2 linked regions of the Cricetulus griseus genome follow. Each later gene encodes a partner of the first gene's protein in a complex. Links are inferred from orthologs where the notes say so. Each region holds a gene or a part of one and is shown in the gene's direction. Other genes may lie near its edges.

What was found.
Region 2: the proteins of Klb (region 1) and Fgf19 are in contact, whole or in part, in a crystal structure (PDB 6NFJ), measured with the Homo sapiens proteins. The link is inferred for Cricetulus griseus from reciprocal best matches to the Homo sapiens genes KLB and FGF19. Residues at the interface, in NP_783864.1 of Homo sapiens: Phe379, Lys380, Val392, Leu394, Trp419, Phe420, Thr421, Asp422, Val425, Thr431, Tyr434, Met435, Asn438, Tyr643, Glu693, Arg696, His743, Asn824, Phe826, Met832, Gln848, Phe849, Leu850, Gln851, Ile853, Leu862, Phe931, Phe942; in NP_005108.1 of Homo sapiens: Leu192, Thr194, Asp195, Ser196, Met197, Pro199, Phe200, Leu202, Val203, Thr204, Ser211, Pro212, Ser213.

What each region holds. Positions count from the first base shown.
Region 1 is NW_023276807.1:132,407,980-132,424,004, forward strand, and holds the end of Klb (beta-klotho), read left to right. Parts: intron 1-783; coding exon 784-1,288; intron 1,289-5,263; coding exon 5,264-5,532; intron 5,533-8,737; coding exon 8,738-9,881; intron 9,882-10,679; coding exon 10,680-11,065; downstream 11,066-16,025.
Region 2 is NC_048596.1:56,434,583-56,451,184, reverse strand, and holds Fgf19 (fibroblast growth factor 19), read left to right. Parts: upstream 1-7,326; coding exon 7,327-7,579; intron 7,580-7,755; coding exon 7,756-7,859; intron 7,860-10,365; coding exon 10,366-10,656; downstream 10,657-16,602. UniProt on the Homo sapiens protein: Involved in the suppression of bile acid biosynthesis through down-regulation of CYP7A1 expression, following positive regulation of the JNK and ERK1/2 cascades. Stimulates glucose uptake in adipocytes. Activity requires the presence of KLB and FGFR4.

The sequences.
Region 1 (16,025 bases):
TTTGGTTTCTTGAGCAAGGGTGTCTCTGTGTAGCCCTGGCTGTCCTGGAACTCCCTCTGTAGACCAGGCTGGCCTCGAACTTATAGAGATCTGCTTGTCTCTGTTTCCTGAGTGCTGGGATTACAGGCACCCACTACCACGGCCCAGCTGTTCTAAAGTTATTTACAGTGTTAATCCAACCCTCACAACATCCCCTTCGTGGACTCTACTGTCATCCATTTACAGACTATGCAGCCTGCACTGTCCTGGACTTCTACATTAGGACCAAAGTCGGGGGCTGAGGAAATATCTCAGTTAGCAAACTGCTTCCCACACAAGCACGAGGACTTGAATTTAATTACCAGAACTCATGGAGAAAAGATGGGTGTTGGGGCCATCTAAATGACTCATCGGGTAAATGATGACTTGGATTTGTTTTCCAAGACCCACATCGTGGAAGGAGAAAACCAACTCCCCCAGGTTGTTCTCTGGCCTGGACATGTTTGTCTTGGCACGTGCATGAAAACACACACACACAAAAAAAAAAAAAAAAAAAAAAAAAAACACACATGCATAAATAAGTAAATGTAATAAAAACATTTTTTGAACGGTCCAGGATTTACTAACCTTGTTACAACCCCAGTGAGTAAGAATAGTAAAGAACATGCCTTTAATCCCAGCACTTGGGAGGCAGAGGCAGGCAGACCTCTGGCCAGCCTGGTCTACAAAGCTACACAGAGAAGCCCTGCCTCAAACAAACAAAAAATGAACATTAAAGACCAATGATATTTTCTTTCCCACCAGGCTCATTCGAAAGTGTGGCATAACTACGACAAAAACTTCCGCCCCCATCAGAAGGGTTTGCTGTCCATTACCTTGGGGTCCCACTGGATAGAACCAAACAAAACAGAAAACATGGCCGATACAATCAGCTGCCAGCACTCTATGGCTTTTGTGCTTGGGTGGTTTGCCAACCCCATCCATGCAGACGGCGACTACCCTGAGTTCATGAAAACATTGTCCACCATGCCAGTGTTCTCTGAGGCAGAGAAGGAGGAGGTGAGGGGCACAGCTGACTTCTTTGCCTTTTCCTTTGGGCCCAACAATTTCAGGCCCTCGAACACTGTAGTGAAAATGGGACAAAATGTATCACTCAACTTAAGACAGGTGCTGAACTGGATTAAATTAGAATATGACAACCCTCGAATCTTGATTTCGGAGAATGGCTGGTTCACAGATAGTGACATAAAGACAGAGGACACCACAGCCATCTACATGATGAAGCATTTCCTCAACCAGGTTCTTCAAGGTTGGTTGCACTTTGGCTAAATTTTTAATAAATGTATGTGCATATATGTTTGCTTGTGTGATTGTATGCCATGTGTGTAGAGGTGATCTTGGAGGTCAGAGGAGAGGGTCAGATGGCCTGGAGTTGGAGTTACAGGCAGCTATAGGCCACCTGACATTGGTGCTAGGGGCCAAACCCAAGTCCTCAGGAAGAGCTGCAGGCATTTGTAACTGCTGGGCTCAGGGTTTTTGTTTAAGATAGATAGTTACCTTGAATATGTGTTTATTGATGTTGGTTTTTCTATTCGTCAGTATTGACCAAGATTTGTTTGTTTGTGAGTGACAGGGTCCCGAATCACCCTTGAACTTCTGTTTCTAACTTCCTGAATGCTAGGATTACAGTCTGACTACCACCCACTGTTTTGTTCTTCATAAACAATATCTGGAGATAAGTTTAAATTTCCTATCAAGAGTGATTTACTGAAATCATAACCTTTGGGGGGGGCTGGTTTGTTGTTGTTTTTGTTTTTCAAGTCAAGGTTTCTCTGTGTACCCCTGGTTGTCCTGGAACTCGCTCTGTAGAACAGGCTGGCCTCAAACTCAGAGATCCACCTGCTTCTGCCTCCTGAGGTCTGGGATTAAAGGCATGGAATACTATACCTGGCCTGAAATCAGATCCTTTTATCTAACTTTATTTTATATGCATTGGTGTGAAAGTTTTGGATTCCTTAAAACCAGAGTTACAGAGAATTTTAAACTGTCATGTGGGTGCTGGGATTTGAACCCAGGTCCTCTGGAAGAGCAGTCAGTGCTCTTAACCACTGAGCAATCTGGCCAGATTGCTTTTATCTGCTTTTATCGGCAAGATCCTTTTAAGTTGACATATTTTAACAATGAAAGCTCTAAAAAACAAAGCTGGGTCATTTCTCCTCTCTTGGAGATTTTTTCCTACCTAAATGTCACCTCATTCACTACTCAGGCAGTGTCACCTTACAGGCCAATGGAAATGATGAGGCCAAAGAACTCAAGTTGTGTCCCCGTTCGGGCTCCATTCTACCAGAATATACTTCCTGTGGCTCTTTCTCCAGCTTCACAGCTCTCTTTTGAAGTCTTAAGTATCAGAGCTAGGGACAGCTAAGTGGGCAAAGTACCTGCTATGCAAACAGGAGGACCTGAATTTGAACCCCTGTACCCACATAAACATCTGGGTGCAGGACTGGTGAGGTGACTCAGTCAGCAAAGGGACTTGCCCACCAAGGTAGACCTGAGTTCAATACTGGGACTCATATGGTGTAAAGAGAGAAGTGACTTCAACAAGCTGTCCTCACACATGCACTAAAGCATGCATTCACCCACACACATGCACCACACTCGCACTTGACCACCCCTAATCCCCCACCCTACCCCCCCCCGCTTCCCCACCCCCACTCCTGTCTCCCACCACAAGACATAAATAAAGTATAGCTTAAAAAATAAGTCCTGGGGGCTGGAGAGATGGCTCAGAGGTTAAGAGCAGTGGCTGCTCTTCTAGAGGTCCTGAGTTCAATTCCCAGCAACCTACATGGTGGCTCACAACCATCCGTTATGAGACCTGGTGCCCTCTTCCGGTGTGCAGATATACATGGAAGCAGAATGTTGTGTACATAATAAATAAATAAAATCTTTAAAAAAAAAAAGTCCTGGCCAGGCATTGGTGGTGCATGCCTTTAATCCTAGCACTCGGAAGGCAGAGGCAGGTGGATCTCTGTGAGTTCGAGACCAGCCTGGTCTACAAGAGCTCGTTCCAGGACAGCCTCCACAGACACAGAGAAACCCTGTCTCAAAAAACAAAAGCAAAACAAAACAGAAGTCCTAAGTATGGAGAGAAATCCCAGCTCCTGCAGGAAAGAGGCTTCAGGAAGGGTTATCAGGAAGAGCAAGGCCTAGGGCTGGAGAGATGGCTGAATGGTTAAGAATACTGGCTGTTCTTCCAGAGGACCTGAGTTCAATTCCCAGCAACCACGGTGGCTCACAACCATCAATAGTGGGATCTGATGCCCTCTTCTGGCATAAAGGTGTACATGCAAATAGAACACTGATATATGTAAAATAAATAAACAAGTCTTTTTTAAAAAAAAAAAAAAAAAGAGGAGGAATAAAAAAGAGCAAGTTCCTCCTGGTCTCACTGCCCCACTGTGCAAGAAAGAACAGCATGGAACACAGCCACACCCAGCCCGGGGCCACATGAACATGGCGGGCTTCATAGGACACTACCTACAGGCACCCTGATTCAAGTGCCATGCACTTGGGCAGAAGGGGTGTCTATTCTACCCTCCCTCAATAACGCCACACCACCATGGGGCCAGAGCTGTGGCTTGTTGAAATACATTTGTCTTTTTGGAATCATTTGTCATGGTTTTCTATTTTCTTTCAAAAAGGGATTTCCTACCTTTTAGAAAAAAATAATGTCAACAATAAGGCCCCAGAATGCAGAAATGAGGCATTTCTGTGATAAATGAAAGGTTCATTTGGGGGGGTGGTTTTGTTTTGTTTTTAGAAAAAATGATTGAAGGGGGGTTGAGGAGATGGCTCAGAGGCTGCTCTTACAAAGGATCCTGGGTTCAATTCCCAGCACCCACATGGCAGCTCACAACTGTTTTAACTCTATTCCAGAGGATTCGGTGCCCTATTCTGGCATCCGTGGGATACACACACATAGGTAGCTAACAGATAGTTATGCAGGCAAAAACACTACTACAGGTGAAATATAGCAAAAATAATTTAAAAATTATAAAAATGATTCGGGGCTAATTTCAGTTTTTATTTATAGACCAGGCTGGCCTTGAACTCATAGAGATCCACCTGCCTGTGCCTCCTGCATGATGGAATTAAAGGCTCCTTATCTCATTTTTACCCATTCAGAGTTTTAAAGCTACAAAGGTCCTTATCTTTTCCACTATTTTCTGTTTGCAAATGAGGAAATTGCCGTTCCAAAACTTGCCCAATGGCTCCCTCCTGGCCACACAGCAGGACCTGGCTTTGGGCCTGCTGCCCTTCAGCTCAGCCACTTCTCACACTACTACTCTGCTTTCCAAGCCTCCTGTCTACATTCTCTTATGCTCTTCCTGAGAGCTGGTATTTCAGTTCCTGAAGGACAATTTCACAGAATGGACAGTTGTGCACAAGCAGGAACCGGCCCAAACTCGGAATGAGAAACTCTAGGTCACTAGTAAACATCCACATCCCCAAAGGCTCTGAAGCCACCATGCCCCAATGCCCCAGGACACAGATTTGCACACAAAATAACATACCCCCTTTTTGTAAAAATATGAGACAGGGGTCGGGTGTTGGTGGCACATGCCTTTAATCCCAGCACTTGGGAGGCAGAGGCAGGCAGATCTCTGTGAGTTCGAGACCAGCCTGGTCTACAAGAGCTAGTTCTAGGACAGCCTCCAAAGCCACAGAGAAACCCTGTCTTGAAAAAACCAAGAAAAAAAAATGAGACAGGGTCTTACTATGTAGCTGGGTGACCTGTAACTCAATATGTAGACCAAGTTAACCGTGGACTCACAGATCTGCCCACCTCTGCTTCTTGAGTGTTGAGATTAAAGGCATGTACCGTTATATCCTGCTAAACAACATGGTTAAAAATTTTAATTGTCAGGAATGTTTTTAATATGATTCTTTACCTGTCATTCACTTGTGTGGGAAGTGTTTATTTTGTGTGGGGAGGTGCAGGTGGAAATCAGAGAACAACCTTCAGGACTTACTTAGTTCTCTCCCCCCACCATGCAGGGCTTCGACTTAAGTTGTCAAGCTTTGTAGCAGGTACCTTTACTAACAGCCATTTTTCTGGCCCCAAACCAACAATTTTTTTGGTTTGATTTAAAAGGCCTGATATTTAGAGAAAATGCTCCTTTTGTAATGTGCCACGCCTTGGCATATTGTTAATGTAGCTGTAAACATGAACTATAATGTTTAGCCCTCTGAACATCCCTGCTACCTTTTCTTCATGCAGCAATACAGTTTGATGAAATACGAGTGTTTGGTTACACGGCCTGGTCTCTCCTGGATGGCTTTGAATGGCAGTATGCCTACACGTCTCGCCGAGGACTGTTTTATGTGGACTTTAATAGTGAACAGAAAGAAAGGAAACCCAAGACCTCGGCACATTACTACAAACAGATCATACAAGAAAATGGTTTCCCTTTGAAAGAGTCCACGCCAGACATGCAGGGTCAGTTTCCCTGTGACTTCTCCTGGGGGGTCACCGAGTCTGTTCTTAAGGTGAGTGACAACTTCTAAATAAACCACACGCTAGGGGAGAGGGTGTACAGTATGTTTCCACAAATGTTATGTGTTTGGATGTTTTGCTTGCATATATGTCTGTGTGCCTGGTACCCATAGAGGCCAGAAGAGGCACTGAATCTTCTAGGACTGGAGATGCAGATAATTATGAACATCCATGTAGATGCTCTGAAATACTAGAATACTAGTCAGTGTTCTCTCTCTCTCTCTCTCTCTCTTTCTCTCTCTCTCTCTCTCTCTCCAACCCTGAGCTGCGATTTTTAAAAACTTTATTACATATAATTGTATATGTAATATGGTGCATGTCTTACTTAAGGTTTTCATTGTTATGACACTATGACCACAGCAACTCTTATAAAGAAAACATTTAATTGAGGGGCTCACTTACAGTTTCAGAGGTTCAGTTCATTATCATCATGACAGGGAGCGTGGCAGCATGCAGGCAAACTTGGTGCTGGAGCTGAAAGTACTACAACTTGCAGGCAACAGGAAGGTCACATTGAGTGAAGCTTGAGAAAAAGACCTCAAGCTGGGCAGTGGTGGCACATGCCTTTAATCCCAGCACTTGGGAGGCAGAGGCAGGCAGATCTCTGTGAGTTCCAGACCAGCCTGGTCTATAAGAGCTAGTACTAGGACAGCCTCCAAAGCCACAGAGAAACCCTGTCTGGAAAAACCAAAAGAAAAAAAGAAAAGAAAGAAAAAGACCTCAAAGCCTGACCTCACAGTGACACACTTCCTCCAACAAGGCCACACTCTTAATAGGGCTACTCCTTTTGGGGATCATTTGCTTTCAAACCACCACAGTTCGTATTGTGGCGCCTGTGGAGGTTAGAGGACAAATTTGTGGAGTTACAGCTTTTCCTCTATCTTCATATGGGTACGAGGGCTTGAACTCAGGTTTCTAGGCTTCATCCACTGAGCCATCTTCCTAGCCTGAATCCCCTGGTTTTTATTGGCATATGTTAATTATATGAACTAATGTGTTTCAATATCACCTCTTCACATGTACACAAAATGCACTTTGGTCATGTTCGCCTCCACATTACATGTCCTACCCTCCTACTGGCACTCTTCTCCATGCATCATCTTTATGTGGTCTCTCAGCAGATAACCACATGCATTGTCTACAGCTAGCGTTTCCTGGGGGTCTGTAAAGTGCAATGCATTTTGTTTGATCTTGCCTTGTTTTGTGGCAAGATGACCTTTTATAAACATCTCTTTAACAATACTGGGATGTTCTGAACTTTTCAGAACATGGGAGCTGGCCTGGTCTGGGAAGACTGCTCAGGTAATTCATTATACACAGATTGAATGTCACTCTCACGTGACCAAAGCTCTCTCAGTTTAATGTTCTAGATAACTGGTTGGCAGATGGCAAGTGGGCAATCATATGGCTTTGTAATTAGACTATGAAGGATGACACATGAGAAAACAATTAGAAGGAAAATATTTGCCAAGGGTTAATTATCAATTTTCCTGGGTTATTTAAATTCAGCCACAGGGGGAAGGTAATTTAACACAAGAATTTTTCCTTGCTCTAATTAATCTTGAATTTGAAATTTTTTTCTTACATCTTTTGTTTTATTTTATTAGTTTTTTGAGCAGGGTTTCTTTGTGTAGCCCTGGTTGTCCTGGAACTAAACCCAAGTCACCTTATCTTTGTACGATGGTTTCCAGTTGAGACTCCTCCTTCCCAGGGCATCTATCTAGACCTCACAGTGCACCTGGGAAGTGGGTGACACAGGACCATCCCCATATGATTGTGCAGCCCAAGCTCAAAGAGGAAAATTCCGGGCTGAGGGTATAACTAAGTTGTCACAGTGCCTCTCTAGCATGAACAGGTCTCTGGGTTTGATCTGTAGCATCACATTGGCTAGCTGTGGTGGCATATGGCTGTATGCCCAGCACTTGGGAAGTGGAGAAAAGAGAAGTAGGAGCTCCAGGTCATCCTCAGGTACTTACTAGGTTTTTGGAGGCTGTTCTGGAACTAGCTCTTGTAGACCAGCTTGTCTCGAACTCACAGAGATCCACCTTCCTCTGCCTCTGCCTCTGCCTCTGCCTCTGCCTCTGCCTCCCGAGTGCTGGATTAAAGGCATGGAACACCACCACCTGGCTGGTACTTACTAGGTTTAAGGCTGGCCCTGGGCTGTATGAGCCACCCCTCCCCCAACACACACACACACACACACACCACACACACACACACACACACACACACACACACACACACAGGAAAAGTAAGACAGAAAAGTCCATGACTCATGACTCTCCAGGTGGAAAGGCAGGGAGATCTGAGGTTATTTCATTGTCTTCCCCCCTCATTACTGAAGTGCTTTGCATAGGGCAATGTTCCATACTCTGCTGTTGAGTGAGTGCTGTGTGAAAATGGGACATCCTTGTACCTTTCTTCCTTAAAAAAAAATTTAAGGGCTAGAAGGATAAGGCTCTTTCTCCCATATTATGAACAGAATATCCAGAACACAGAAACCATTATGAAAGACAAAGTTATTTATTTTATCTTGTAGTCTCTGCTATATAGGCTGGTCTCCAACTGGTAGTAATCCTCCTGCTTCAGCCACTTGAGAACTGGGATTATAGACATGACCACCACTGTGGGCTATCACCTGAACTTTTCAAACAAGAATTGCTGAGAGCTGTGGCCAGCACAAGCAAGAGCACATCTTTCAGGAATGGTCTGGCTTAACCAGCCTCCTCTGAATGCAAGTGCTGCTCTCAGCGACTCCTTTACAACTTCAATTTTACCTTTGACATCAACTTATGACAGGACTTAGAATCCATCTTTCATAACTGCCTTTGACTGAGGGCACCAAGCCAATTTCCTGATGCATTTGAACACCGTCACAGAAGATGCCATATAACCTGGATTTGTAGGTCAAATGAACTGGAAAATAGCCTCTTAGGCTTTTCTCAAACAGCTGTTCTTCCTCTCCCCTGTGTGCTTCCTTCCCTGTGTTTCCTGGTCTCCCTGGAGATTTCAAGGACTAGGATAAGGCCCTTTCTCCCATATTGCTAACAGAACAGCCAGAACACAGAGCCCATTATGAAGGACAAAGTTTTTTATCTTGTAGTGAGAGGCTTCGTGAGGCTCAATTCTTCTGATCTGAGGGGCTTGGATATGCTAGGAGCCACACTTGATTTACCTGAATGCTCTTGTTTCCCACAGCCGGAGTTTATGGTTTCCTCCCCACAGTTTACCGACCCTCACCTGTATGTGTGGAATGCCACTGGCAACAGATTGCTACAGCGAGTAGAAGGAGTAAGGCTAAAAACAAAACCATCCCACTGCACAGACTATGTTAGCATCAAAAAACGAGTTGAGATGTTGGCCAAAATGAAAGTCACCCACTACCAGTTTGCTCTGGACTGGGCCACCATCCTTCCCACTGGCAATCTGTCTGAAGTTAATAGACAAGTACTAAGGTACTATAGGTGTGTGGTGAGCGAAGGACTGAAGCTGGGCGTCTCTCCCATGGTGACGTTGTACCACCCCACCCACTCCCATCTAGGCCTCCCTGAGCCGCTTCTTAACAGTGGGGGATGGCTAAACACTTACACCGCCAAGGCCTTCCAGGACTACGCAGGACTGTGCTTCCAGGAACTAGGGGACTTGGTGAAGCTCTGGATCACCATCAATGAGCCTAATAGGCTGAGTGACATGTACAACCGCACGAGTAATGACACCTACCGTGCAGCCCATAACCTGATGATTGCCCATGCCCAGGTCTGGCGTCTCTACGACAGGCAGTATAGGCCAGTCCAGCATGGAGCTGTGTCGCTGTCCCTACATTCTGACTGGGTGGAACCTGCCAACCCCTATGTGGACTCACACTGGAAGGCAGCGGAGCGCTTCCTCCTGTTTGAGATCGCCTGGTTCGCTGATCCGCTCTTCAAGACTGGCGACTATCCACTGGCCATGAAGGAGTACATCGCCTCCAAGAACCAGCAAGGGCTGTCCCGCTCAGTCCTGCCGCGCTTCACCCCAGAGGAGAGCAGGCTGGTGAAGGGCACCATCGACTTCTACGCACTGAACCACTTCACTACTAGGTTCGTGATACACAAACAGCTCAACAGCAGCCGCTCTATGGCAGACAGGGACGTCCAGTTCCTGCAGGACATCACCCGCCTGAGCTCGCCCAGCCGCCTGGCTGTTATGCCCTGGGGAGCACGCAAGCTGCTTGGGTGGATCCAGAGGAACTATGGGGACATGGACATCTACATCACAGCCAATGGCATCGATGATCTGGCTCTGGAGAATGATGGGATCCGAAAGTACTACTTGGAGAAGTACATCCAGGAGGCTCTGAAAGGTGAGGTTTGGGGAGCTCACACAGTGAGGTGGGGGAGGTATATGGAACTGACAGCAATGAAAAGCTGGGCACGAAGATCACCGGCAACTCAGATCTGTGGCTCCTGACCGCCTCCTATCCGTTGGATCTCCTCCTTATGAAAACAAAAAACAAAAAAAAAAAACAAAAAAACTATGTTTTTTTGAGAGACAGAGTCTCTTTAGTCCTGAGTCTTTGAACCCACTATGTAGATCAGGCTGGCCTTGAACTCAAGAGATTCACCTGCTTCTACCTACTGAGTGCTCGAATTAAAGGCATGCGCCACTATCTCCCGGTATTCATTAATGTGTTTTTTGTTGTTTTTTTAGACAGGGTCTATCTAATCACCCAGGATGGCCTCCAACACTAGGCTGATCCCTATCTTTCTGCCTCAGCCTTCCAAGTGGTAGGATTACAAGCCTAAACCACCACATCTGAACTTTTATAAAGTGGCATAAACTCATTACAGAAAACTTGGAAAACATTTTTTCCTAAATAACACCTGAAATCTCACTTCCCAAGAAAAGCACAATTAGCTCTGAAAGATAAATTCTTTTTTTTTTTTTTTTGAAATAGTTTCTCTGTAGCTTTGGGGGCTATCCTGGAACTTGCTCTGTAGACCAGGCTGGCCTTGAATTCACAGAGATCCACCTGCCTCTGCTTCCAGAGTGCTGGGAATAAAGGCGTGTGACACTGCCTGGCAAAAACTAAATTCTTTTCAAAGATAGTTTCCTGTCCATTTGTGATCACCGATGTTCTTTTCTGTTTTTTTTTTCTTAGCATACCTCATTGACAAAGTCAAAATCAAAGGCTATTATGCATTCAAACTGACTGAAGAGAAATCTAAGCCTAGATTTGGATTTTTCACATCTGACTTCAAAGCTAAGTCATCTGTAGAGTTTTATAGCAAGTTGATCAGCAGAAGTGGCTTCCCCTCTGAGACTAGCAATCCCGCATGTGGTCAGCCTCCAGAAGACACAGACTGCACCATCTGCTCATTTTTCACTCAGAAGAAATCTCTGATCTTCTTTGGTTGTTGCTTCATCTCCACTCTGGCTGTACTGCTGTCAATCACCATTTTTCATCATCGAAAGAGAAGATTTCATAAATCAAAGAACTTAGAAAATATACCATTGAAGGAAGGCCACAGTAGAGTTCTTAGCTAAACTATCATTTATGTCATAGTTTAAAGGTTCACTCCAGTTCCATATACTGGTAACTTATAATGTGAGAGACATCTGCAACCAAGGCGATGACAATCAATGCCTTTGCAGTGGTTCAAATCATTCCCTTAGGTATTGACAATCAGTGAATTAATTCAGTTCTTAGAGCTGAAGGCTTCATCCTGTCAGTAATTCTGGGGACATGGCTTCAGGAAGTGTGAAGTGCTGTTTCACGTCATTTTACTCTAGCTCTCTTCTGTAAATAGCAATTCGTAGTAAAGGAATTCATCTTTAAAAGTGAAATTCTGTTGGTTTAGATTTCATAGTTTAAAACTATTTTGTTGTTATTTTTGAGACAGGGTCTATTATGTCACTCTGGCTGTCCTGGAACTCTAAGATCCCACCTGCTTCAGCCTTCTGAGTACTGGGATTAATGTGTACACCACCACACCCAGCTAAAACTATCCTTTAAACTGGACAGTAGTCACATATGCTGTCACTTCTAACAAGGTGCTCTTCTGTTTAGGTCAGGAGGTCATTAGGAATGTAAAATATATAACAAGACTTTAGATCATGCTTGTCCATAGGCAGTTAAAAACACAGGATCTAAAACACACTAATCCTAGCTTTTCTCAACAAAACACAAGGCGTTTCTTTTTTTTTTCTTTTTCTTTTTCTTTTTTTTTTTTTTTTTTTTGGTTTTTCAAGACAGGGTTTCTCTGTGTAGCTTTGGAGCCTAGCATGGCCTTAAACTCACAGAGATTCACCTACCTTTGCCTCCCAAGTGCTGGGATTAAAGGCGTGCGCCACCAACGCCTGGCTACAAGGCATTTCCTAAACATTCAATTTTGTGAGCTCTCTCTTACTGGACTTCTGATTGGTGGGGAAGGAGGAAGGTTCAAGACAGGGTATTTCTGTGTATTTCTCACAATCCTGGAACTCACTCTGTAGACAAGGATGCCCTTGAACTTTAGATCCATCTGCCTCTTGAGTGCTGGGACTAAAGGAGGGAAGTGCCCGCCACACCCAGCTTGGACTTCTGATTTTAAAAGTAGCTTTCATAACTCATGTCATGGAATGATCACAGGATGGACAACTAGACCCAAGTGTCTTGTCAAGATCAGGTCCATTAACCCTTACAGCACGGCGATTTCCATTTTAAAATAAACTGGCATCACATCTATTCCCCTGATTTCAAGGTGAGAAGATCTGTCACACTCAGGAAAGTTAAAAAGATGTAGATTTTACAATAGGTAAAGGTCAAAGACTTTACCATTATTCATAGATTCCTGCTTTGTTCCCTAGAGCTTCCTAACTGTCTCATGCACCATGATTCTGATGAATCCAGCATGTCAATTTGAATGACCTAATTTAATTTTGCTTTTTAAGGCTAGCACTAAGTAAATTTCAATTTGGATATTTTATATTTAAGAAACCATGCTTGATTTGATCACAAACACTAGGGATAACTTGAATGTGTACCCATTCACATCCATTCTTTCAAGTAAACATGTAAATAGCCACGTTACCCAGTAACTGCAAACCCTCTCCAGAATTTATGCTTGGGATTCAAAGAAAAGTAGCTCTTTCACAAAGAGCCTTAGTAATAAGCCATCCTAAAATGTACCATGATTTTTAATTGTACATCAGATCTACCTATTGTTATTTGTCCCTGACTGTCCTGGAACTCACTCTGTAGACCAGGCTGGCCTCAAACTCAAGAGACCCACCTGCCTCTGCCTCCTAAAAGTGCTGGGTTTAAAGGTGTGTGCCACTACCTCCCAAAGCAAAATTATGATTCTTTTTTTTTTATTTATTATGTAACATTGTGCTTCCATATATATCTGCACACCAGAAGAGGGCACCAGATCTCATAACGGATGGTTGTGAGCTACCATGTGGTTGCTGGGAATTGAACCTATAGAAGAGCAATCAGTGCTCTTAACCTCTGAGCCATCTCTCCAACCCCCAAAATTATGATTCTTATAATCACTAATTTTCAAAAATCATAGAGACAGCACGTGCAAAAGCCATGAGAAATAAAACTGCTATTGGACTAGTTAAATAACAGATTTCTGCTTTTCTGCTTCTGGTTCCCACAACCACCACCCTGCCTGTCTTAGGTTTCTTGTGTACGGATGTTTTGCCTGCATGCATGTATGCACCACTTGTTTGCCTGGTGTCCTTGGAAGCCAGAAGAGGCATCAGAGATGGATATGAACCAACATATGGGTGATGGAAGCCAAACCTGGGTCCTCTGTAAGAACAGCAAATGCTTATAAACAGAGTTGTCTATCAAAAATTTAGTTCTTAAGACCGGGTTTTTTTGAGACAGGGTCTCACTGCATAGCCCTGGCTGGCCTGGAGTTCACTATACAGACCAGTCTGACCTTGAACTTCCCCTGCCTGTCCACTTAGTAGTTTTTAAGTAGGTTTTGCAAAGAATCTCTTTGAGAACTATGCTTAATGACACCCATTGTAGTTGGCTGGACAATTGTATTGTTAGCCACATAGAAAAGCTATGTATCACTAAAAAAAAAAAAAAAAAGTAAAACACTTCTAGAATTGAGTATTTTGCCTGCATACATGTATGGATGTGCACCTGGTATCTTTGGAAATCAGAATACACTAGATCTCATACAACTGGAGTTAAAATGGTTATGAGCCCCATATATGTGCTGGGAATAACCCAACTCCTCTGTAAGAGCCACAGTGCTCTTAACTGAGATTTCTCTACAGCCCTACTTGGGTTTAAGTCACACAAGTTTGAATTCACTCCAGAAAAACTTTGGTAAGTTTTTTTTTTTTTTTTTTAACTTTTATCACCTCATTCCCTGCATCTAAAATTTGTAACAGCTGGACACTGGTGGCACACACTTTTAATCCCAGCACTCAGGAGGCAGAGGCAGTTGGATCACCATTTGAGGCCACCCTGGTCTACAAAGTAGTTTCCAGGACAGCTGGGGAGATTTCAGAGAAACCCTGTCTTATCTGTAACCTCAAAAAATATGCAAGCAATAGGAGAAACAAAGAACTTGGAATCAACCCTCAATTCAATAACACTTAAGGTTTTTTGTTTGACTGGGTTTCATTATATTTAAGTTGGCCTCAAACTGGCAGTGATCCTCCTGCCTCAGCATGGTTTCCAACTCCGTTAACATCACTACTGTTTTTTGACAGGTCTCATGCTGTCCAAGCTGACCTTAAACATTACCTCAGGATAACCTCCAAGAGTCTTCATCCTCCTGCCTCAACTCCACTGCACAAGTCACAGGGATGTACCACCACACACCCAAATAAAACATTTCCTTCCTTCCTCCTTCCCAAACTTGCCAAGTTCACCAAATGTATAGTTCGTAGCCTAATGCTGCCACACTTGAGGGTCATGGGATTATGTGTGCAGTCACCCATTTTAAATGATCATATAAAAATTAGGTCACGTTCTAGTGATACTAAATTTAAGTCTCCAAACACAGGTTAGGGATATGGCTCAGTGGGACTTTGTACTTGCCTAGCAACGCTAATACTGAGAACATTCTTAACCCAATGGAGTAGCTGCAAAAAACGATGTATCATTTTACAAATTCATTGTCTTAACTGGTGTTTGTCTGGGAAATGAGGAGAGTACCGTGCCTAAATGTTTTACCCTTCAGTGCTATACCAATGTGGTTGATGCCAATCATTTATATTCAACAATCTGGCTGGAGGTGAATAGTTAGTTCATAAGTAGCTGAAACTGGTTTTGAAGCTCTTAGCCTGTTTCCACCCCTGTAAGGTTAGGATCACAGACCGGCACACACCACATATATATATATATATGCAGGGGCTTCAATAGGGGGAAAACACTTAGCCAGCTGAGCTATAACCTGGCCTTTGTGATAGTTAGACATGATGCTGCACACCTTTAATCCCAACACTTGGGATTAAAGTGATCTCTGAGTTTGAGACAACCACAGCCAAGAGTTCCCTATCTCAAAACACTGACTAGGGCCTACAGAATAATGTAGCTCCAGGGGAACTGACACCTCTGGAAACATGAATGAATATATTCTCTCTCTCACACACAAGCATAGTTCAATTGGGCATTACCTGTACCCTAGCACTGGGGAAGACAAACACTACCTTAAACACAAAGTGAAAAGGTAATAGACAAAGACAGCAATTGCACGTACATGTGCACACATGAAGAATAAAAAACTAGCTGTGTTGGTACTTGCCTGCCATGCTAGCACCCAATAGGTGGAGGAATGAGGATTATGAGTTTGAAGCCGTAATAGAGCAAACTTGTCAAAGAAACTAAAGGTCTGGGGACAATCCTCAGTGTTTGCTGGGTTCACTCTTCACCACCAGGCGGATAGGGAATTCACACAAAATACAGATTACTATTAAGTCTAGAACATTATATTCAAAGCCTGCAACCCTACCACCCCCAGTGTTCCAAAGTAACCCCAAGTTCATTGTTTCATTCATAATCTACTGAGCCCCAACCTGATCCCCCCCACATCAACCTCTTCAGAGGTAGAACTACAACCATGATAATATTGAGAACAGAATGACCATGATTTTACATTTACATTTTTTAGTCCCCACTGAGACAATCTGCACACCAAATAGTCATTATGATGACTGTGCCAAAGTCACAACACCTCTAGGTTCATCCCAAAGTACCACGCCAATTGAACCCGCACGGGGACGATTGCCTGTCATTGGTACTACACTCCTGTTCTTGAAATCTCTTGTTATTCTTTTAAGTCACTTGTTTACAGGAAGGAAAAAAACCTGTTGTGCTCCTTGGAGTAGCAGTTGACCTATCTGCTAAGTAATCAATCAGAAAAGACACACCAAATCAATACAAGTCTTTATTGTCCCAAAAGACACACCAAATCGTACTTAATTCAGGATCTTGTTTCTGGAACTGGTTAACTGTAAAAACAAAATACATGTAAACTTTTATTAATATTCC
Region 2 (16,602 bases), on another chromosome or scaffold:
TTGGGTGTGAGCACCTGAAAACCTTGTACTCAGCCCTGAGTCTGGAGAGCAAGGCACCACCTTACCCCTGCCAGGGCCTGTAGTTCTGGGCAATTCTCTTTCCAGATGAGTGAGGCTCACAGGTTTTTGTTGGGTCCCATATTGGTCCTGGTGGGAACTAGAGATGGACCCTTAACACAGGAGGTGGGAATGAGGATAATGGAGGTCCTGGAAATGGGCAGCCATGCTATGGTCTCCACTGTGTCAACCACCAACCCTCTTATGTGAACCAGGCCAGCCGAAGGAAAGAAAGCCTTGCCCTTCAGCTCCAGCTGTTTCAACCATGAAGGGACACTCCTTCGTGCTCAGTTGCAAGAGGTTTCACAAGTGAATCTCGGGAGGAAGCCTGTGCTTTGTGGAAGATGGGAGCTGGAGTCTCTGCTTCCTGTGAGAGACTCACAGTCTTGTTTGCCTCTGGTGAATTTCTTCAGGGGGAGGGAGAGTTGGGGAAACTCTGCTTCACTTCCCTACAGGTCTCTCCTGCTACGGAAAGCCAAGGATCCCATCACAGTTGAGGTGTTGTAATGTGCTGGAGACAGCCAGGGTCAGGCAACAAGGGGTCAGGGTCAGGGAGCCATGACAGTAGTCACTCAGTGAAGGTCCTTCATAGAGTGACTCTCAGAGTCCAGCCTCCTAGGGCCTGTTGGCTCCCTCTGAGAGTCAACTCTGAGGGGCCACACTCTGGGACCCACTGCCTACCACTTCTTCCTCAAGGCAATGAGAAAAGCACCTGGAAGGTGAGGAGGAACACTGTGCTTATGCCAGGCTGAGTAGTGGTCCCCAGGTTCTTCCAGCGCCCGTAAGTGAATGTCCACATACAAAGGACCTTTCTGCAGGGAGTGAAATAAACAACTTCAAATAAGCTGGGTGAGGTGGCATGTGCCTTTAATCACAGCACTTGGGAAACAGAGGCAGGTGGATCTCTGTGAGTTTGAAGCCAGCCAGAAGTACACAGTGAGACCTTGTCTCAAAAACAACACACACACACACACACACACACACACACACACACAGAGAGAGAGAGAGAGAGAGAGAGAGAGAGAGAGAGAGAGAGAGAGAGGAGAGGGAGGAGGGAGGGAGAGAGAGGAGGAGAGAGAGAGAGAGAGAGAGAGAGAGAGAGAGAGAGAGAGAGAGGCAGCATCCTTGCTGGGTGGGGCTAAAATCAAACACATATAGCCAATAGTAACACAGGGAGATCTGGGAAGAAAGCAAACTGACAGAAACCACTTGGAGATGAAGGCCAAGGCCTCGGTGCCTGGAAACAGGTAAGCCTGCTCGGATCCATTTTTTATTTTAAATATATATATATATATATATATATATATATATATATATGATTTATACTTATTTTACTTTACATGTATGAATGTTTTGGCGGTATATGTACCTATCGGACCCCTGGAACTAAAATTACAGACAGTTGCAAGTGGTCATGTGGGTGTTGGGAATCAAACCCAGATCTTCTGAAAGAACAGCCAGTGCTCTTAACTGCTGAGCATCTCTCCAGCCCCCACACCATTTATTATTTGTTTGTTTGTTTGTTTTGTTTGTTTGATACAAGGTCTCCTGTAACCCAGGCTGGCCTTGAACTCTTTATACAGCCAAGGATGATGCTGAACTCCTGGTCCTCCTACTATAAGACCCCCAAAAGCTCAGGCCTCCAGGATCTCAGCTCAGGACCGAGGCCACCCCAATCACCAGGCGGAGGCGAAAGCTTAATGCAAACTGCATGAGGCTTTATTATAGTTGTTTAACGAGCTAACCCCATGTTAGATCCGGCCTTTCACCCATCCACGATGGGGGATGGCTAGAAAAGACAGCTCCAAGCGGCCGCATAAAGATCTCATAGGGCAGCGTAAGGGGAGTGTCTAGGGGTACATACAGGCTCAGGATTGGTGGAGGGTTTTCCCTGTTTTGATTGGTCAACTGGTTGTTATGGCCCATAGGCCCTCCCAGGGTGGTTGCTATGCTCTGTGCGTCATTGCTGTGCACTTTTCCGTAAAGCATAGCACCACCAGCTAACTTCTGATTGGTCCCTTGCCAATCTTGAGTCGTTGGGATGAAAGGCATGCACCCCACACCTGGTTCTGCCTCATGTCTTGATCTCTGGCTTCCAGTCTTGGGTGCGACGAGGGGTCAATATCTGTAAAAGTCATTGTTAGTCAGTGGTCATTTGTCCCCCACTCTTGAAGGGGTCCATAGAGACAATGGCCTTGTGTTTGGATTCCAGCCCTGCTGCTTGCTAACTGGCCAGTATGGGGAAATCATCCCCAAGCATCAACAGCCACCCCAGAAGGGCTGCCAGGTGACCAATGTCCTAAAATGGCTGAGGCCCTTCTCACAGATGCTGATCATTGCTGGGCAGGAACTTCTGGAATAGGAAAAACATCATGCTGCCCTTCAGGAGGGTCATTAGTATGAACTCTGGAGGCTTCTGGAGGTCTTGAGATACTACCAAGTGTGTCTGTGGTCATAGTTACAGCAAACCCAGAGCAGGAGCCAGAACAGCACTGCATCCCTGGAGATGTCGCATAAACACACTCAAAGTCACCAGGCCCCAGTTCAAGAAGGACAGAGACTGTAACTCTTAGTGTCTGATGAGGAAGCATCCAGAAAGATCCTTAAAACAAACAGAATGCGTGGGAATCAGGCACTGAAAATAGAGAGCTTGCTCTGCCCAGGGATGCACTCTACCCTAGTGACTCCACCCATCCTGCTGGGCTCCTGGGAGCATCACCAGCAAGAGTTCTGCCGGCAGAACTGGAGACTGAACTGTATTAAGTTAGAGCCACACAGGCCCCAGGTCACTGGCAACCCGGGCACTGAACCTCAGGAAGCAGCCTCCCAGCTGTGGCTAGGACTGTACTTCCTCCCCAGCTAAATGATTGACAGCCAGCCTAGTCCAGAGAAATGCAGCCTAAAGGGAGCGACAGAAGGAGCAGAGGAGCCCTTTCTTTGTCCATCTGGCTACTGGATCCTCATTTCACCTCCCCACTTGTACCCTGCACAACCTGAGCTGGGCATTTGCTCACACCCTGTCCTACCCTGATGGAAAGCCAGGAATCAGACCAGCATGAACGAAGCCCACTTGATCACAACTCAGTGGTGATGGGAGCCCTTAGTGGTGAATCCAGGGATAGCTGGCAGGTGTTGTGAGTCCCTACACCAGCTCAGATCAGTCAGATTAGCCTGTGATGGGCCTGTCTGCCTGCTCTGTGAGCCCAGCCTCCTGTAGTCTAGGGGCAGACAACGTCTGCACAGTGGCTTCTTGCATTTCCTGGATGGGGAAGCTGGGTCAAGGGCCAGTCCCAAGACACCCAGGGGGTCATCCTCCCTTTAGATTTTTTTTTTGGGGGGGGCGGGGGGTTTCGAAACAGGGTTTCTCTGTGGCTTTGGAGGCTGTCCTGGAACTAGCTCTTGTAGACCAGGCTGGTCTCGGAATTCACAGAGATCCGCTGCCTCTGCCTCCCGAGGGCTGGGATTAAAGGCGTGCACCACCAACACCCGGCTCCTCCCTTTAGATTTTTGAAGGTATGATTTAAAATAAAATGTACCCTCTGACAAGTTTCTTTTTCCAAACTGAAAAGAGTCCTGGAAACACCAGGTGACACCTACTTCTACGATGAGATAAGCATAGGAACATTTTGGCCACACCTGGAACACAGTTGACTGGGCATACTCTTTGTAGTGTGTCTCAACACACCTTTAAAATTCAGATGTAGCCCACTCTGTAAAATTTAGAAACTACACCACAATTTCCACCCTCTACCCTGATTTGAAGGGCATAGGTATTTACGTGTGTGTGTGTGTGTGTGTGTGTGTGTGTGTGTGTGTGTGCTGGTGTGCACGTGCACACTCGCACGCACAGCACACAAGGGCCCATGCCATGGTGCATAAGTGAATATTGGAAGACAACTCCTGGTAGTCAGTTCTCTTGTTTCACCTTGTGGATCCTGGGGAGTGAATTCAGGTTTCCGGGCAAGCACCTTTATCTGCTAAGTCATCTTGTGAGCCCCTCAAAACACAATTCCAAGAGGTTTTTTGTTTGCTTGGTTTTCTGGGGGGGGGTTGTTTGTTTTTGTTTTGCTTTTGTTTTTTCAAGACAGGGTTTCTCTGTATACCCCTGGCTGTCCTGGAACTCGCTCTGTAGACCAGGGTGGCCTGGAACTCACAGAGATACACCTGTCTCTTCTTTCCCAGTGCTGGGATTAAAGGTGTGCACCACCACCACCCAGCTAACTTTGAGAGTATAAACAAATATTAGCCCCACATTCATGATACGGAACATTCTAGTGACCTACAATCACCCTCTTCCCTATTGGTGGTCAGTCTTCCCCTTTGACTGTGAACTGGCCTTTTGTCTCATCTTTTCCAAAGTTTGACACTGAATTTTAAAAGAAATAATAAAGCCAGCTGTGACAACTCAGGGCTGTCAACCCAGCACATGATAAGCCGAGGCAGGAGGATTGCCTTGATGAATGCCAGCCTAGGCTTCATAGTGATTTTTGGGATAGCCAGGACTACATAGAGAGGCCCTGTCTCAAAACAACAACAGTAAATAAGTAGATGAATAAATAAATAAAAAGTGGGCACTAAGCTGGGAGGGAGATTTTGTGGTGGGTTCTAGAGGGAGTTGAAGGGAGGATAGTGGTAGATGGACATGATGAACACAACTGTATGGATCTGGGGCTGGAGGGGTGGCTCAGTGGCTAAGAACGAGTACTACTTTTCAGAGGGCCTGAATTCTCTGCCCAGCACCCACTTTCTGGGCATCTGCACTTATTGGCACATGCCCACACACAGACAGACAGACACACATACACATAATTTTAAAAAATAGTAAGGAACTTTCAAAGAATAAGTAATACTATTTTTTTTTTCTCTTTCAATCAACGGACCCCCAAGCTAAGCCCTTCTGGCCGTCTGGGCATCTGTGTGGACCCTGAGAAAACAGCAGAGGTCACAGAAGTCCTGCTCACTGACTCCGTGAGATGTCAATCTAGAAACACAGTCTTAGCACCACACAGGGTACTGGAAAGTCCGGGAACTAGATCTGCAAGCCCAAAAGCTACAGAAGGCAGGCACCCCCTCCTCTCTCACCTGGAGAGGAGTCTGTAAGGTGGCATCAGCGCCCCCTGCTGGCAAAAGCTCTTTTCCCCCCTTTCTCTTTTTTTTTTCTCCCGGTGGTACCCGCCAAAATCTATGAGTGGTTACCCGGATCGCCAGGGCACACCCCCTCATTCTCCTTAAGCCTGTTTCATTCAGGACTCACCCTTTACTTCCAAATCATTGCTGAACTAAGGAAGGCCAGTTATAACCGACTCTCATTCTTTTGCATGAACAACCCAAGCTCTTGTTGATATATGAAAAAAAAAAGGTCTGAGTTCTCTATGCCCATTCTTCCATACACTCCACAAGACAAGCCCAGAAGCAGGCTGATGCGACTGGCCCAGAGTTCATCATGTAGCCCGCTGTGGATCTGCTGCCACCATCCCCCCAAGCCCCGAGACAGGCCACCCTGCCTGTCACACACAAGGTTCTATCTTCACTTCTCATGGATGTGCAGCACCCTGACACTTTTCAGAGCCTCGTTTTCCACCTGTTCAGAGATGGGAGTAAAACCCAGCACGGGGCAGAATGTTCTTATGGGGTTCCCTGGGGACCCTACAGACATTTCTCAGAACACTCCATTACCAACATCTCCACCTCTTCCGGATGTCTCTGAGAAGGGAGCCTAATGGAATGGGGTACTACCAATCGTATTCCACCCTCCAGCCCAATTTGGGGGGACTCCTCAGTGAAGCCTCGCCAACCTCCCCGGTACCCCACATTTATCACGGACATTAAAACGAAAGCCGCAGGAGAAGGCAATTAAGATTAATAGTCTGCGCTGTCGATTGAGAATCACAAGGGGGAAGTAATTAGATTTTACAGGAGGCACCGCTCTCTAAACCAAGCCTCACAGCATGGGAGTCCCCGGTCCAGAGACCTTTCGATGATGTATTTTTGTAAAGGCTTTCCTGGTGACATTCTCCCAGCGCTCCGTCATTAACGCCAGTCACTGATGGCGTCTGAATGTGTTGTGTTCCTCATTGAGATTCATCAGACCTGCCATCTCTCTGCTGTCCCGCCCCTGCAGACGGACCTCCCATCACTACTGAACGAGGCCACTACCTCTTTCCCCAAACCAGCCTCCCGGGGGCCCCACACCCAGGAGTTGGGGAATTGAAGGTATAATGAGAAAGGATAAGACTGAGCCAAAGACCCCTGCGAGGACCCTTTCTTCAAGGCCGGGGAATTCTCTGCAGGCTGCCTCCTTTCTTTGCAAGAGAGGCTCATGGAGAGGCCCCTATTCTCCTCCCACCTGACGTGCCGCCAGCAGAGTCCACCGTTGCTCCTAGCAGGCCCCCTCCTCATCGGTAGGCAGCTGTCCCTCGCGCGCAGACTCCGGGGCCTGATCACAGGCACAAGAGGAGACCCGCGGCCTGTCCTGCCTCTGCATGTTGGTCAGCCCACCCTCCTCGAAAGTCGCAGCCCCAGTGACGGTAGCCTTGTGGAGACCACAAGGCAGGCAGAGGACGTCCGCTCAGAGCGCCCCTCGCTGCGCTGTGGAGGCCGAAACTGGGGCTGAAGCGCCACCTAGTGCGCGCGAGTGCTCCCACGACGTCTCCACTGTCAAGGGCAAATACCCAAGAAAAGGAGGCCTAGTTCTGGGGCTAGGAGAACGTGTGAGAGTCGGATCTTCGAGGAAAAGCTAAGGGAGAGGACCCGAGACTCAAATTGGGGGCCAAGGAGGCAGAGCTCTGCGTGCCTTGCAGTCTCTAGTGACCGTTCAAAGCGCATCCCTCTGAGAGCCCAGGGCCGGGGACCTCAGTAATTAATAGTAAAATTAAAACCGGCTATTCAATTACCACCAGGCTGATACACATTGAACACTTACTCCCCGGGACGCGATCGCGAAGGGGAGTGGGGGGCTCCTCCTCCTGTAGATCTGGCCGGTCTGGGCGGGGTCACTGGGCTGGGCCTGAGAGGGTGTGTGCAGGGGGCGGAGACTTGATGCAATTAGGAGGAGAAAAGCTCTGATGCCACGGTCACCTACCCGAAACGTATATAAGGCGGCGTGCCCGGAGCCATAGAACCGTCGGAGCAGCAGTGCTGCGCGCACCGTGCTGCAAGTGCCCGCTGCCTTGTTGGCCGCAGACACTCTGCCTGCTATTCGCGTCTCCGCTGCATCGCAGTCTCCGTGCCACCTTTGTAACCGCGCCTCACGACCCCTCCGGAGGTGCCATGTGGAGAACGCAGAACGGGCGTGCCATGGCCCGAGCCCTGGTCCTGGCCACTTTGTGGCTGGCAGTGGCTGGCCGTCCTCTGGTTCGGCGATCCCTGACTCTGCCCAATGCAAACCCACTCTTTCTCTACGGCTGGGGCAAGAGCACCCGCCTGCAGTACCTGTACGTTGCTGGTCCCCACATCTCCAACTGTTTCGTGCATATCCGAAGCGACGGCTCCGTGGATTGCGAGGATGAACAAAACGAACGAAGTGAGTGTCTGCCAGCGCGTCCCCTCGGGTCCCTTACGCTCGCGTGCGTGCTACCGTGGCCTTAACAAATCCCCTGGACTCTCAGACTGGGTCTGGGGAGGGGCGAACAGTGTAGTTCTGCCGTACCCACGTGTTGCTGGGTCTCAGCTGCATCTCCTTCCTTCTCTTGTTCGCAGGTTTGCTAGAGTTCCGCGCGGTCGCTGTGAAGACGATTGTCATCAAGGACGTCAGCAGCGTGCGGTACCTCTGCATGAGCGCGGACGGCAAGATACAGGGGCTGGTGAGTATTCCCCACGAGGCGGGATGCTCGGAGCTGCGCTGGGTCTGTGTTGGGTCTTTACACCCCCTGCTCAGGCCTACAGGGAACTTAAGAGAGCAAGGTAGCTAGTGCTAGTGAAACTAATGTTACCACAGCCGCCGCCGCCCACCCCCCTTCGGAAAGCGATGGCCCCAGGCTGTAGGCGGGAATGACGAGCCCAGCGGAGCATGTCTAATCCTCGGGAAGGCTGGCTCGGCTGGCTGCTGAGTACCATTCAGCTTTCGGCCCCTTTGATATTGAACAGGAAAACACACCTCTGCCATTTTCATCTCCAGCCTTTGCGTGTGTGGTCCTCGATTTCCTTTCTCTCCCTCAAATGAAAGAAAAAAAGAAGAAAGGAAGTGTCTTTTAGTCAATTTCTAAGTCCTAGGAACACGGTGTGATGTAGGGACTAGGATATTTTAGAATGTCCTTAAGGGGCTCACCTGCTTGGGAGCTAGGGCAATGGGGCTAGGGAGGGCTGGTCAGGTCAAGGTAACCCCTGAAACCCGGGAGGCTGGAAATACAAAGGCCAGGGCTCTGTGGGAGCAAAAGCTGCGAGTCCAAAGAAGCCTTCAGCCCTCCCTTTGGCAGTACAAGAGGAGGCCGTGTGAGGTCTGTTGGCCAAGGCCTCCCATACAGCCCTGGGCTCCTGGGAGGAGCAGGGACTGGGGTTAGGAGGTCCCCTATGGGGAACGATGGCTACCCGGCTCAAAATTTTTGTTTTGTTTTGTCTTTAAGAGTCTCAAAATTGTTTTGTGGCTTTGAGATGGATTTAGCTACATGAAAAGATCACAAAGAAAGAAAGGGGTATGCAGAGAAGCCGGTTTACAAAGAAGGGGTTCCACTGCCTGTCTGAAAACTGATACCCCAGCCCTGAACAAATCTCCCACCACACTGTCCTCCTGAGATATTTATTTGTGGCTAGGGCACTAGGAGAAAGGTTCGATCCCCCGTCTACCCTAATCTAAATGGGGTGGGAATGCCCATGGGAGCTTTGCCCCTCAATTCCAGTGCCGCCCCTTATCTATTGGGCATGGTTCCATCACAACTTCTCCCTGACTTTTTTTTTTTTTTAAATAGAAGCCCCACAATCTATCATTCCTATATGAAGAAAGGCTGATCAATTCTCCCTAAGAATTCTCCAAGAGAAATACATCCTGTGTTTATCTACACTTAACATTTTTCAGGGAACATGGCCCTTACTGCCTGGTGGCTATCCCGTGCCATCAGCCAGGGCAGGAGCTGTGGGTTCTTGGAATTAGCCTGTTATCAGAGCCTTATCTGCCATCGCTCTTCCACCTGCAGCTCAGCGACCTCAGCAGGCGGCTTGTGTTTACCGAACCATCCAGGCTTCCCAAAGGGATGTGGCACCAGTTTGGGAGACTGCCACTGGTACCTCAGTCCTGGGGACTAGGAATGTTCTGGTATTAAGAGGATGGGGACCAGGGACAGCTTCCTGCAGCAAACATTTCCGGCCACCCACAGGGTCGGGGCTTGGTCCTGGGCGTGGGGGAAGGGCTGCGGATTATCAGGCAGATCCTGGCAAGCTGCCTGTGAGGGGGCTTCTCTACTCACAATAATAAGAGACACGCAACCACCTCAGCATTAGAAAAGCTAGTGCTTCAGGTCTAGACAGGAACTCTCGCTTTATTCCCTGCCCCAGGCAAGGCTGCAGTTACTACCCAAAAACTGCCTAAACAGGGGGCAGAGTTCAGAAAGCTGAGAAATAACCATCAGAATTTAATGTCACTAGTTAAAAGCCAGGGAGACTTGCACCCTGCCAGTAGCTGCTTGGGGATTTCTCTGCCAAAGGCTGGGATAGATAATTGGTAAACACCTACCAGCCCAACCCTCTGGAAACTGAGGCAGGATTGCTGTGAAGTCAAGGCTACAGAGTGAGTGAGACCTTGTTTCAAAAACATACCAGAGCTGGGGAATGGAGCTCAGCTGGTGAGGTGGTTGCCTAGCATGCTCAAAGCTCTGGGTTCAACTGAGCACTGCATAATCCCAGCACCGTGGTGCTCACTCGTCATCCCAACACTTGGGAAGTGAAGGCAGGAGAATCAGGAGTTCAAGGTCAGCATAGGGTACTTGAGACTGTTTCAAAATGAAAACCCAGGCCTGACATAGTTGGGATGCTTTTAATCCCATACTCAGGAGGCAGAGGCAGGTGAATCTTTGAGTTCAAGGCCAACCTGGTCTACATTATGAGTTCCAGGCCAGCCAGGGCTACATGTAGTAAGACTGTCTAAAGAGAAAGTGCTAGAATACTTGTGGGGTGAGCTAACAGGGACAGTCTCATGCAACACGGGTTGGCCTTGAATTCCTGATCTCTTGCCTCTGCCTCCCAAGCCATGGGATGAGAGGTAAGCATCACCATGCTTGGCTTTCCATGTACTTCAAGGAAAGAACACTTATGATGGCTGTGGGGACAGGACACCACCACAGTGCTTATGCTCATATATGCTTGTTTCTTTCTCCAAAGACTCATTACTCGCCGAAAGACTGTACCTTCAATGAGAAATGGGAGTATATAACTTACAACAAGTACGAATCTCCGAATCACCACCTCTATGTCGTCCTCTTCAGGAACAAATACAGGCAAGATCTCCTGAACAAAAAACCCTCACTCTTTCTCCCCATATTTGCCCGGTTCTTGGAACCCAGAGACCAGCTGGAGTCGAAAGTGTTGCCTCTGTCGCTGGCTTCGGACAGCATGGATCCTTTCAGGATAACGGAGGACTTGGAGATAAAGAGCCCCAGCTTCCAGAAGTGATGGGGTTCTGACAGGATGAAGAACACCCCAGTGTCCCATGAACTTCCCCTTTAGGAAGATGCGCTAGAAGCTGTACATATTTTAAGTCTTATATTGACCATGTGTGGTTTTAGTGGCTAGACTGGATCGTGAACCTAAACTGATCACCTGCCTAGCTGACATCTGAGCCCTACTGACTTAGGCAGCTGCTGATCTGTGGTCAGGTTACTCCAGTTCTGTTTGAATACCTCCGCTAACGGGGAAGTCATTCCTATGAAATGTTTCTCGATCTCTAGGCCAGCCAGAAGATGTGAAGTCATTTAAAATTCATGTGCAGGGGGTGGGCTCTGAACTATGTGTTGACTGAGTGAACCTCGTGGGGTCTCTACTTGCCCCCAGTTGCCTCCTGGCTAAAACTGATGGGGCGATCACAAACTTGGAGCAAAGGGCAGCCAGGAAAACCTTGGGAGCCTTGCAGGATGGTTTTGGGATTAAAAGTTCCAGCTGACCACTTAATTCCCCTTTCCCCCACCTCTAGATGTCAAATGGACATCTAGGCACAAGAGTGGACTTCTCAGCTGAGTGGGTAACTAAACTGCCACTTGTATCTCAGCAGCTTGTCTTGGTCATGAGCCTCCAGATCTGCCCAGGTCACACCCCTTCTCAGAGCTCACCCTAGGCTCTCCAACCCCAGAGCATAGAGCTCATGGGCCATCTACCTGTGCCCTCTTGCCCCCAGCTCCTGACTCTTGTCCCTATTCATCAAGCATTATGTGGATCAGTATGTTCCCCCGCTGCCTGTATCAACCTGCACCCCTCATTTGCAAATGAACAACAAGATTAGGAAACCCTAAATTTTTCAGTGACTGCAGGGGAGATGTGGAGTCCTTTCTGCAGCACTTACTTGGCAGTGTGATATTTATAAGTAATTTATTTTGTATATGTCTCTTATTTTCTTAACTTTATTTATGCCCCAGATCATATTTATGTACATGATATTTGTTTTCTACATTAAAAAGGAGTTGGTTTGTATCAAAAATTATTCTGTTTCGAGTGGGATGCAAATGAGGCAGAAAAGAGCTACGGGAGGGGCGACCGCCCTATCCTAGACAGGGGACATCATGCCTTTGTTGGCAATGGGTGGCTCCATTTCTGGCCTCTCAGACCCCTCATACCCAACCAACAGATCAGACCAGGAGGACACAATAGCTTAAGCCAGACAGCCCCACCGTCGGCTTTTGTTATTTGGGGATACACTGTTTGGTGGGGTGGGGAGAGGCTTGTTGAAAAGTTACCATCCCCCTTTTTATTTTTTGGTCTTTATGAGACAAGGTTTCTCCATTATACAGCTCTGGTTGTCCTGGAACTTGCTAAGTAGTCCAAGCTGGCCTCTATCTCACAAATCTACCTGCCTTTGCCTCCCTAGTGCTGGGATTAGAGGCATGTGCCACTGTACTCAGTTACCAAAAAAAAGAAAAAAAATGTCTTGGAAAGTGAGGATGTCACAAGAATCAGATTCTTTATGTTCAATATGAAGGGCAGAGGGAAACTGGCATTTTGCCCAGGTCCTGATGCCTGTCTTGTCTACCTCACTGGGAAAGTCAAAGCTTGCTTAAACTTTTTGTCAAATTCTTCTGCCATCTAGGAACCAGGGCTTTACCAGAGGGCCAGATATTCACTGCCCCCCAGCAGCTAGGCTGGGAAAGCAAGCGTGATGCTGGTGCTCTTGTCAAATGGATTAAGGAAGCAGGACAGGGTGACAGGGAGAGGGCAGTGCGGCCATGTGCATTCAGCTGGTGGGCTCAACAACAATGGCTGTTAGAGTCAATTCTGACTTCTGGAGGAGGGGCAGGAGCAGGGTGGCTCTGATGGGGCAGCTCTGAGGTCTTTGCCATTAGTTGCCCCCTAGGAACTCAGAAAGAAGCAGAGGTGAGTGGCCTCCCCATGGGAAACAAAGGACTCAGACTTTTAGCCTCTCTAAGCCGTGCAGTCACCACCCAGCTCTGATTTACCTCTTCTAGATTACAAACTGACTCTAGAAAAATCTTCCAAGGACCAGAAAGGAGAAAGGGGGAATAGGAGCCAGAGATGGAACTGCCCCTGGCTGTGACACTGCTGAGCTACGTATTTAATCCTGGGCCCCATTTCCTGCCAGACAGCTTCTGATATCCCGGTAACAAGATGTTTCTTTTGGTTTGCTAATGGCCTTCCTGAGCTGGAATCCCTCACCCTCCAAGCCTGGAGGAGCCTTATCCTCCCTGAATAAGGGAGGCCAGGGACTGATGTTGACCTGATCACAAATACCAAGGTGGCTGAGCTGATCCATCATGCGTATTCTATGAGGTCTCCGTACCAACCTTTAGCACCTGGCTCAGAGAAACTTCTGGAAGTTTCTGAATTTGTAGCTCAGGCAGTATCTGGGAGGTCTGGGAAGCACGGAACCTTCTCTACACCCTGACTCCCTGTATCTGCACTTCTCTGAGCACAGGTGGTGCACGCCTCTAGTCCTAGCCCTTGGGAAGCAGATGCAAGCAGAGGTCTGTGAGTTTGCAGCTAACCTGATCTACATAGTGAGTTCCAGGATCGTCAGAGATACACACGAATTGAGACCCTGTCTTTAAAAAATCATAATAAAACACACAGTCTGTTGGTTGGTAGACCAAATTAGTGGAAATCAAGGAAGAGGGGTCATGGTTGGACATCAAACTTGTATTAGGTGGGGCCAAAGCCTAGTAGGAGTGCTGAGTTGGGGGTGGGGTGTTTCACCAGCAAAATCTGCTGCTGCTGCCCTGGGCAGATGTGGCAGAACTGATGTGTGTGTGGGGGGTTGTCCCTGCTGCAGTCACCTGGTGGAAGTGAGAGACCATGAAAGGGATCTGCATTGTACACAGACATTAGGGAAACTGAGTTTATGTTTTTTTCTTGCTCAGACTTGGGCTCCCCTCCCCTGCAGTGAAGGCTATGTGATAGGGACTTGGTGGCAGTGACAGGCATTGTCTGTTGGGTCTGCTGCACCTTCCACTTGGTGCTTTTGTTTATTTCTGATTTTTCAAAATAGAGTTTCTCTGTGTTGTCCCAGCTATTCTGGAGCTATCTCAGTAGATCAGGCTGACCTCAAACTCACAGAGATCCACCCGCTCCTGCCTCCCAAGTGCTGGGAGTGCTGGGAGTAAAGGGGGCTCCACCACTGCCCAGCATCTTGGTGTTTTGTTTTATGACCATTTCTTCACAGAGGTTTCTCACATTTCCATTTGTTTCAAGAGATTTCATCATTGTCAAGCATTCCTGTTGTGTATGCTCATACTCCTTGGCTTGTGTCTATTGTCGTTTTTTCTGAGGCAGGGTCTCATTATGTGGCCCTGGGAGAGCCAGAGATATGTATTGAGACCCTGTCTCAGCCTTCTCAGTGTTGGGACTACAGCTGTGTGCCACCAGGCAATTTTGTATCATTCCCTCCCTCTCTCCCTCCCTCCCTCCCTCCCTCCCTTCCTCCTTCCCTCCCTCCTTCTCTCCTTTCCTTCCTCCCAGCTTCTACTACTTCATGCTTGCTTACTTGCCCCCACCCCCACCCCCCACCCAGGGCTCCCACGGAAGAAAGCATGAACCAAAGGACAGGGTCTGCAGACAGTGTACATGAGCTGTGTTTGATGCCCAGCAGGAGAAACCAGTAGTAAAAAGATACCTTTTTTTTGGAGTAGGATGGAAATTGAGATAGGGTTTCACTATGTAACCCAAGTTGACCTGGAACTTGCTGTGTATCCTAGAACTGACTGTAATCCTCCTGCCTCATTTTCCCACACTGGGATTACCTGAGACACCATGTCTGGATTCAAACTTAAAAAAAAAAAAGGTTTACTTTAATGTTATTTATTTGTTTATTTACCTGTTTATTTGTTTATTTATTTTCTGAGGCAGGGCCTCTCTGTGTCAGCCCTGGCTGTCCTCAAATTCACTGAGATCCTCTTGCCTCTGCCTCTATGCACCACCATGCCTGGCAACCTGTGTTTTGATGTTGTCTGGACTGGAGATGGAATCCAGGGCCTCATGAGCCTGTACATGCTTGCATCTGAACTGTGAGTTCCAGCCCTTGCCCCAAACATGTTCTCTTCACACCCACCTCCTGGAGGTTGCAATGGCTGGCTATCCTGCGTCTGCCACCCACCTCTGGGTTCCTGTATGACCATGTGGAGTAGAACCCCAAGACCTGCAGTGGAAACAGGAACTGTGTCCATCTGGAGAGCAAACCTCAGGCAGCTATGTGGAATCACAGAGGTTTGAGGCTAATCTCTCGTGGTGACTGCCCGGCCTCATAGGTACACTCAGAGTGTCTCAGAGTGTGCCATGAAGTAGGAGGAGCAGATACATGAAAGGATGGGCACAAATATACATCACACCCACCCACCCACCCAGTACAGAGATCATTGGCAAAAGAAGGCATAAGAAACAGAGTGGGCAGGCTCTGTGGTGGACTACAAGCTGAGCAAGCAAGAAGCTCTGAGTTACATCAAGGGGTCTTCTAAAAAACAGAAAAAAACAGGTAAAAATTTGCCTGAGGCATGTGCCTCAGGATAATCATGTTAAATGAAATAAGACAGACTCTGGCCAGCAATAGGGCTCAGCGAGTAAAGGGACTTGCCAACAAGCCAGACAACTGAGTTCTGTCCCTGGATCCCACATGGTAGAAGAAGAGAGGTGATTCCTGGAAGTTGGCCTCTGACTTCCATATGTTTGTATGCACACAAAATAAATACATAAAATGCTTAAAAACAAAGCCAGACTCAAAAGCAAACATTGCGTGTTATCTCTTATACACAGAATCCAGATTTAAATGTATATATGTGGAATCTGGAGAGACTGCTCAACAGTTAAGAGCACTGGTTGCTCTTGAAGAGGATCCAGGTTTGTTTCTCAGGACCCACAGGGTAGCTCACAACTGTAACTCCTGTTCTAGGGGATCTTACAACCACTTTTGGTATCTTCAGGCACTGCATGCATGTGGTGTACCTACATTCATGCAAACAAAACATCCATACGTATAATTTTAAAAAATCTTTTAAAAAATAAGAAAAGCCAGCACTTGGAAGGCAGAGCCAGGCGGATCTCTGAGTTCGAGACCAGCCTGGTCTACAAGAGCTAGCTCCAGGACAGCCTTCAAAGCCACAGAGAAACCCTGTCTCAAAAAAAAAAAAAAAAAAAATAAGAAAAGTTTCGTGTATATACTTATATGAGTGTATGTGTCTGTGTGTCACAAGACTAGACAGGGAGTCATGAAAGGAGAGGAAGAGATCTTAAAGGAACATGAGGAGGAAGAAAATGGAATCCACATGACCTGAAAAAAAGAGAGGCCTGGGGATGGCACTTGTCAGAGGCATGAAGACTGGAACTCAGTACCCACATAACTGGGGTATGGGTAGCACCCACATGTAATTCCAGTCTCTGAGGACAGAGATAGAGGCTCCCCACAGCAAGCCAGTTAGGGAGGCTAGCCATATAGGTGAGCTCAGGGTTTAAGTGAGAGACTGCCTCGAAGGACTAAGTGGAAGAATATTGGAGGTTCCCAACATCAGCCTCAGGCCTCCACACCCACATGCGTACACGTTAAACACACACACACACACACACACACACACACACACACACACACACGATACCAGCACTCAGGAGGCAGAGGTTTAGGGTAGGTGGAGCTAGGTTTGAGGTTTGAGGCTAGCCTGTTCTGATCTATATAACCATATAGTGACTTCCAGGCCATCCAGGACCACATAATGAGAGCCTGTTAAAAACAAAACAAAACTTGTTCTGGTGTAGTGACGCATGCCTTTAATTCCAGGACTCGGGATGCAGAGGAAGGAGGATGCCTGTCAGGACTGCTTAGTGAGTTCTAGGACAACCAGGGTTACATAGTGAGACCTTGACTCAAAAAACAAAAACAGGGATTGGAGAGACGGCTCAGCGGTTGAGAGCACT